Linked DNA regions of Oryctolagus cuniculus. The protein of the gene in region 2 interacts with the protein of the main gene of each other region in a biochemical or structural test. Links are inferred from orthologs where the notes say so. Each region holds a gene or a part of one and is shown on either strand. Other genes may lie near its edges. The genes, in order: ADRB1 and MAGI3.

Evidence for each region.
Region 1: the proteins of MAGI3 (region 2) and ADRB1 interact in a test that uses a peptide from one of them, tested with the Homo sapiens proteins (2 studies listed by IntAct, with this or other methods). The link is inferred for Oryctolagus cuniculus from reciprocal best matches to the Homo sapiens genes MAGI3 and ADRB1.

What each region holds. Positions count from the first base shown.
Region 1 is NC_091446.1:16,246,454-16,250,849, forward strand, and holds the start of ADRB1 (beta-1 adrenergic receptor), read right to left. Parts: upstream 2,949-4,396; 5' UTR 2,686-2,948; intron 2,610-2,685; 5' UTR 2,422-2,609; intron 1,998-2,421; 5' UTR 1,916-1,997; coding exon 350-1,915; 3' UTR 1-349. UniProt on the Homo sapiens protein: Beta-adrenergic receptors mediate the catecholamine-induced activation of adenylate cyclase through the action of G proteins. This receptor binds epinephrine and norepinephrine with approximately equal affinity.
Region 2 is NC_091438.1:56,685,754-56,689,560, forward strand, and holds part of MAGI3 (membrane-associated guanylate kinase, WW and PDZ domain-containing protein 3), read right to left. Parts: intron 737-3,807; exon of another isoform or gene 444-736; coding exon 305-443; intron 1-304.

The DNA.
Region 1 (4,396 bases), on a different chromosome or scaffold from region 2:
ACCTGCACTCCAGTCCCCGTCGCAGAAAGTGTCAAAAACCACCTGGAAAGAAAGAAAGAAAGAAAAATTCCCCAGAGGCATCACACGCACGCACCCGAGGCCCAACCACAGACAGAAAACGCACGCAGAAAACTGGGCAAGCCACTCTCCCACCCGTTCCCCAAACATTCCTTCCTGGGCAAAGGCCCCACGGCCTTTCTGTCTGCCCTGGACAATGCGGTCACCCGCCGTTGGTAAACACCCATCTCCTCTCCCCTCCACCCGCACCCCGCGGTTCCCCGGCGAGCTCTCCTGCTCCTCCTCCCCGGGCGCAGGGCGCGCGTCCCGGACGCGGGGGGCGCGCCGGGCCCTACACCTTGGACTCGGAGTTGAAGCCCGGGCGGCACGGCTCGTCCAGGCTCGAGTCGCTGTCCGCCGTCGCCGCCGCCGCCGCCGCCGCCGCCCCACCATTGCAGCCTGCCCAGGGATCCAACAGGCGCGCGGGTGGCGTGGCCCCGACGTCGTCGTCCTCCTCGTCCGAGGCTGCCCCGGGCGACGGTGGCGGTCCGGCGCGCGCGAGGCAGCCCGAGGCGCGCGGCCGGGCGTGGGGGTTCGCATGGCACCCGCGGGCGGCCCGGCGCGCGCAGCAGAGCAGGCGCTGGAAGGCCTTGCGGAAGTCGGGGCTGCGGCAGTAGATGATGGGGTTGAAGGCCGAGTTGGCGTAGCCGAGCCAGTTGAAGAAGACGAAGAGGCGGTCGGGCACCAGGTCGCGGTGGAAGGCCTTCACCACGTTGGCCAGGAAGAACGGTAGCCAGCAGAGCGTGAACACGCCCATGATGATGCCCAGCGTCTTGAGCGCTTTCTGCTCGCGCAGGGCCACGAGGCGCGACGGCCGCCGCTTGCTGTGGCGCCCGTTGGCCAGCGCGGCCGCGGAGCCGGAGCCGGGGCTGGAGCCGGGGTCCGGGCGCGGGGGCCCTGGCTCGGGCGCGGGGCCGCTGAGGAAGCGGCGCTCACAGCTGTCGATCTTCTTCACCTGCTTCTGCGCCTCTCGGAACACCCGCAGGTACACGAAGGCCATGACGCACAGCGGCACGTAGAAGGAGACCACGGACGAGGCGATGGCGTACGCCCGGTTGGTGACAAAGTCGCAGCACTTGGGGTCGTTGTAGCAGCGGCGCGCCTCGTCGCCCTCGGCCCGCCACCAGTGCATGAGGATGGGCAGGAAGGACACGAGCGCCGAGATGGCCCACACGGTGCACACGAGGGCCCGCGCCCGCGCGCGCGTCAGCAGGCTCTGGTAGCGGAAGGGCGACGTGATGGCGAGGTAGCGGTCTAGGGCAATGACACACAGGGTCTCGATGCTGGCCGTCACACAGAGCACGTCCACCGAGGTCCAGAGCTCGCAGAAGAAGGAGCCATACTCCCAGCGGCCCCACACCACGATGGTGGCCCCGAAGGGCACCACCAGCAGCCCCATGACCAGGTCGGCGCTGGCCAGGGACATGATGAACAGGTTGGTGAGCGTCTGCAGCCGCGGTGTCTTCGCTATGGCCACGATCACCAGCACGTTGCCCGCCACGATGAGCAGCACCACGAGCGCCATAAGCAGGCCCATGCCAGCCGTCCACTGCTGCGACAGCAGCGCGGGGCCCTCGCTGGCGGGAGGCAACAGCGAGGCGGGCGGCGACGCGGGCACCAGCAGCCGCGCCGCCGTGGCCGCGCCGTCGGGCAGTGGCGCGGCGGACGACAGGTTGCAGGGCTCGGAGGCGCCCAGGGCGAGCGCCCCCGCGCTCATCCCGAGCTGCGGAGGCCGGGGGCGGGGGGTGTGGCGGAGCTGGGCCGTGGCTGGGGAGCCCTCCGAGAGGCCGTGCCGGCGGGGCGCGCTGTCGGAGGTCGCGGCCAGGTCAGGGCAGCTGCGGCGCGGAGCCCGAGGCATCGGCTCCGGGCGCCCTCCCCGCAGCCGCCGAGCGCTGTCGCCGCCGCCGCCGCCGCCGCTGCTGCTGGGGCCGCTGCCGCTGCTGGCAGAGCCGCCGGGACCTCAGCATGTTTCTGAGCGCGCGGGGCCCGCGGCCCCGGCACCCAGCACCCACCCCCCGTTCCCACCTCCCGAGCCGGCCCCCGGGGCCTGGCGTCAGGCTCCTGCAGCCAATCGGGGCGAGGGCACGCCCCCTTCTCTGCCTCCCCACTCCCTGCTACCCCGACTCCCCGCACCCCCTCCTACCGGCGATTGAGCGGCTCGGGGGAGTCGGGGCAGAGCGTCCAGCCAGCGCCTCTCGGGCGCCCGCGGGTTCCGCCGAGCGCTCCCTTTCCTGCGCCCGCCCGCTCCAGCGCCCCGTTCCCCTGCGCCGCCTAGGGCGCCCGGCTCCCGGCCGCGTCCCCGCCCCCTCCCGCGCTCGGCTCCCTCCCGCTGCCCCGCTCTGCCCACCCCCGCATCCCCTCTACCTCCGTTGTCCGGATTCCCCGCAGCACTGGGCGCCGGCTCCCTTAGGGGGCGGCGAACGTTGACATCCTCACGGCTCCTGGGCGCCTCGAGCGGTCTTGTCCGCCAGGGTTGGAGGAGATTGGTTCTTGGGTGTGTAGAGTCCTTCCTCCGCCAAGGGGGCACCGGGCCAACCTGCGTCGCGCCAGCCCTGCGAGATCGGAGGTGGGTGTTAGCAGGGAGAGGAAACTTGGCAGCACAGCGCGTTGCGGGAGCAAACCGCGCACCTGTCTCTGCGCGGGTGCGGCGCTTGCGAGGAAGCGTCTGTTGTACTTCGGGTGCAGGAGATGTAGCAGGGGCGAAGGCTGCTGCATCCAGCAGCCAACGCGGAGGCTGAGCTGGAAAAACACACACTTCCTAGCCCCTGCGCGTGATGCAACAGTGTGTGTCCACGCCGTGAGGGGAGAGGCTAGGGAAACACGCATGTTAACGCGCACGCAGACAGACCACCTCCACTGACGCTTTAGGCTTCCCACATTCAGTCACAACACCTGCATTTTGTGAGTTATTGCACGCAGGTTTTTATACTCAGGGCAGTGTGGATTGCAGACTCTGAGGCACTGACAGTTTTGGTTGAAGCAATGAACTGGGATTTTGGATTTTTTGGTCTGGGTGGCGGTTTGTTCCTTTACCCAAGTTCCCAGATTCTTGCAACTCTGGGGTTAGTTTTGAAGGGATGAGAGAGAGAGAGAAAAAAACCATAAATCCTCAAGGGGATTAAAACCCCAAAGCATTTAAAGTTATACCAGTGGTTTCTGAGTTGGCAAATGGGTTCATTTAAGGGTTAGAGGGTTGTTAACCTAGTTGTAGGTGGATTATATGGAGGAGAGGGGGAATGGTGGGGCCAGGAGCACACAGGGCAGAGGGAAGCAAGCCCTTTCTCTAATTTGGCCCTGGTAAGGAACTTAGCTCAGGCCTGAAAATAAACAAAAAACCTTTAATTAGATCCTTGTGAAGTAAACAGCTCCCGATCATCATGAACGTGTTATATAACGCTCACACATCTTTACGGCGTTAGAATAAAAAGAACAGCATCTAGAAAGAGCATCCACCACGGCCCAAAACCGTGCTCCTACCTTGCCAGAGAGAGGCGAACAAAAAGGAATGCTTGTTACGTGTGCAGACGTCAGACCGTTTGCACCAGCTTCTTGAGACTAGAGAAATGCAAACACATGAATTTGCTTTAGGCCTAAGCATGATCATCGAAGCATTCCTACAACCCGGGAGTGATTAATTTGTTTATTCACCCCTGCCCTGGACTCAGCCCAGTTTTGCCAACTTGGGGAGGTTGATGTGGGGGAGTCAGGAAGAGAGGAGCTGGAAAGAGGGAGGAAGGAGACCGGGCCCTTAGTGACTCCACTCCTTGCAAGTCCTCCCTTTGGCCCGGTGAGAGGGGGAGCTAAGGGGTGGTATTAAAATAGCCAAGGGATTGGGTGGAGTGGAAATTGATGCTGCCCAGGAAAGGGCTCTGAGTGCTGGGTGGGGTGCAGGGAGTGTGGGGAAAGCTGCTGTCTACCCGGCGCAATCCTCCTGCCAAGTGCTGCTACTGGAATAGAGTGTGTCAACCTCAAGTGCCCGCACAGGGCCAGGGCGCAGGGCGCAACACGGCGAGAAGGCCTGACTGTGGGTGCAGGGGCTGGCGCAGAAGCCGGGTGCAGGTGACTTCACTGTGTGGTTACTTGCACGAACGTCCTGGGCATCAGCATGGCCGGAAACCTCTCTCCTGGCTCTCTCCCCTACTCATTCAGAGACACCACAAATACGTACATGGAATTATAGACACCGAAAGCAAAGGGTATTCTAACAGGGGCTGCTTCGCAGGGATGCAAGTAAAGCAGGGTCCTGGGAATTCTCAGGGCTCTCTTTCACTTGGGGTTAGGATTAGGGTCCTGAGAAGAGTTTTGGAATAGTCGGTGTTCAACTAGAGTTAGCTTGCCC
Region 2 (3,807 bases):
CAGTGTTCTGCAGGACGTCTACATGGCTGCCTCCTGGGCCCTGCCATTTTACAGGCACATTTCTCCGCAAAAGCCATCTGTGTTTTCTGATGAAATCAACTTAAAGTGGACTCCATTCCAACAAATTGAATACTTGAATTCACTTGTACACGGTTATCCAACTAGATTCTGGTGGTTCTGGTGTTCACCTCTGAATTAGCTAGTTAAAAAAAAAAAAGCTATCCTCCAAATAGAAATTCCTTTTCCTTCTGCTGCCCTTCCCTAACATACAACTTTGAAGCTACCAGCGAACTACGTTACTTACCGTGGTCAGGTATCAAGCCAGCTCCTGGCCTCAAGAGAAGAAGAACTTTATTTCCACCAGCCTGAATGAGCTCAATTGCTCGAGTATGTGTGATGCCTTGTGTGGGCTCCCCATTGATTTCAACAATCTGGTCACCAACCTAGACAGGGAACATTCCCGGGAACAACATGAAACTCTGCACTCTTCTTCTTTTCTGCTTCTGTCAGCTCCACAGCCATGTGACCTTGCTAAGTGACTCTCTCATTTGTTAAATATTTAATGTGATCACAGCACAATCACACTAGGGCTGAGGAGTGCACAACCACAGGAAGAGACAATGTCCAGTTTTACTTTCTCGATACAAATCGCACATGGATAAGTTTTATATGGCTGCTAAGTCAGGATATAGGCATCTTCAATCCAAGAACCAAATTCTACACTTGGCACCAAAAGGTAAGCAGTGGAACAGGAGGTAAGTTTCTACCCCAATCCAAATGATCCCACAGGTCGCTATGTGGATGATCAGTCTGTGAAGGGGACTTTCAAACTTGAGCTGAATCTTGAATTTATTCCTTAAAACCTGGGCAGGTGGTGCCTCATCTTTGAAGTCCTTCCTGGGAGAACTGCCCGCGCCTGGGTATTGCCATTATGTCCTGTACGTGTATGAGGCATTAGACAAATGACATTTATAGATTAAAAGCCTAAAAAATTAAGCTTAGAGATTAATATAAACACTTACTTGAAGCCAGTAACTGCCTTACATTTAAAGACTTCAGTGTAAAATCATTTCCAACATAAAGCTAGGGATCAGAGTAAGGTACTTCAGTACTGTTTGTGTTTGCAGAAATGTCTGTTGTTATTTTAAAAGAAAAAGGACAAATATGGAAAAGTCAAGTATAACTTTTGCAAAGAACCTGATTAAAAATAATGATTTTAGGCTGGCGCCGCGGCTCACTAGGCTAATCCTCCACCTTGCGGCGCCGGCACACCGGGTTCTAGTCCTGGTCGGGGCACCAGATTCTGTCCCGGTTGCCCCTCTTCCAGGCCAGCTCTCTGCTGTGGCCAGGGAGTGCAGTGGAGGATGGCCCAAGTGCTTGGGCCCTGCACCCCATGGGAAACCAGGATAAGCACCTGGCTCCTGCCTTCGGATCAGCGCGGTGCGCCGGCTGTAGTGCGCCAGGCGTGGCGGCCATTGGAGGGTGAACCAACAGCAAAAGGAAGACCTTTCTCTCTCTCTCTCTCACTGTCCACTCTGCCTATCAAAAAAAAAAAAATAATAATAATTTTAAATTGATTTCAAGAAGACAGGCCAACAGAAGACTATTGGCTTCAAAACAGAACTAAACCATGCGATATTGGTAAAATCTCCAAAAGCAAAATTGTAAATCTTTATGGGAGCTTACTAAAATAACCCATAAGTAACAGCAGAAGGGGAACTGATAATTACTTCTCAAAGGTCAGTATCTACACCCAGTCCACATACAGCCCAGCGCTGTGGCTGAGGCTCACGTCCTGGCTCTGCTTGCTGGCTGTGTGGTCTCGTTTTCCTCAGTTACTAAGTGAGGGTTTCTGTACCGACTCCTGGGGTTCTTGGAAGGATTTAATGAGATGAAACAGGATTGTACACCAAGCACAAATGTTAGTTTTCAAGTATATTAAAGCGCACTGGTAGGAAGATTTAACTATAGACTACACCCTATTCTTTACAATGCAAAAAATTTCAAATAAATTGTGAAATAGAACATAAAGTGTCCTGCATATTTATATATAAAAAAAGATGAGTCTTACTCTTAAAGAACTGGAGGATATGTAATCAGAAAAAAGATGGATTTCATATTGCTAGGATTTGAATGTTTGTCCCTGGAATGTATGTGTTGGCATTAATCCCCAAAGTCATATGACTTACTGGAGGGGGAATTTTTTGGGGGGGGGCTTGCATTGTGAGGGCTCTGCCCTCATTCATCTATTCATGGACAAGTGGCTGAATGGCATAGTGAGGGAGTAGCTTTGTTACCAGACTCCCTGGGTCACCCATGCTTGGTCTTGCCACGTGACGCCCCACAGGGCTCAGGACTGTGCACAGTCCTGTTATCAGGATGGCCCTCACCAGATGTGGCCTCTCAACCTAGGACTTCCCAGCTGTCAGACTGTGGGAAATAAATTTGTTTTCTTTATAAATTACCCAGTGTCTGGTATTCAGTTAATTTTTTTAAAGACAATAATAAAAACAGGATGGAGAGAAGCACTAAAGATAATTAATTAAAAAAACCCCTTACTATTGAGAATATATGCATGAAACAAAAGTCAGTATATAGATTTCTCTTGTTTAAGTAGTGAAAAAATTGTGAAGAAGAGATACAGAGGAGAAATCAGTATTAGACATACAATCCTGCAGGTAATTAAATGTCAATTAAAGAAGGTAATAACTGGGGCATGCTTCAGGTTTATCCTATAAAACATGGTTGAAATTCTAATTAATTTCAATCACATTTGACTTAACTCTCCAAATCTGTACACTTTATTCTTAGTATAATAAACTGTAAATACAACTTGTAATTGAGTAGATTTGCCACCAGGTGTCATTTTTGTTTAAAATTAAATTGGTGGGAAAAGAGGGCTTTCAGATTTCTGGTGGCAGGCCCTCAGAGGAGGGGAAGCTACAGAAAACTAAAAGATAAAAAAAGGCACCTCTGGGGCCGGTGCTGTGGTGTAGCAGGTAAAGCCACCGCCTTCAGGGCCGTCATCCCATATGGGCACCGATTCGACACCTGGCTGCTCCACTTCCTATCCAGCTCTCTGCTGTGGCCTGGGAAAGCAATGGAAGATGACCCAAGTCCTTGGGCCCCTGCACCCATGTGGGAGACCTGGAGGAAGCTCCTGGCTTCTAGCTTCGGATCAGTGCAGCTGCGGCCAGTTGGGGAGTGAACTAGCGGAGGGAAGATCTGTCTCTGCCTCTCCTTCTCTGTGTAACTCTGACTTTCAAATAAATGAATAAATCTTAAAAAAAAAAAAGGCACCTCTAAGAGTAAACTATATTTTAAAATGGTGTTATTTGAAGATGTAATAAAAAGGAACAACTTTTGATAGATAGAAAAATAAACATTCAGGTTCTATTTTTTATAATTTAAAATTGTGGGGGAACAAAGAGTAAAGAAGAGAAATGAAAGGAGAAAAAATGAAATAGAAGAAGAAAAGTAGGAAGAAGGGCTAGCAAAAAAGAATCTCTTTTCTCACTAAAAACATATTGGAATTACAACACAAGGCTTACATTATGCTACAGCCTGTTAAGAAACTACATGTAACAACAAATCCAGATGGAGCCCACGGGCTGTGCTAGAGGACCACAGCGCTGGTCCCACAGCGGCACTCACAGGAGATTCAGTATCCCTGAGCTCCAGTTTTAACTCTGCAGGTGGGGGTAATGCCACTGCAGAGACTGTAGTTGGAAGCGTGCTGCCTTCAGGAGGGTAGACTCTCACTGTTTTCTAGATCTGACTGCTTTTTGTTGAATATTAAAAGATTTT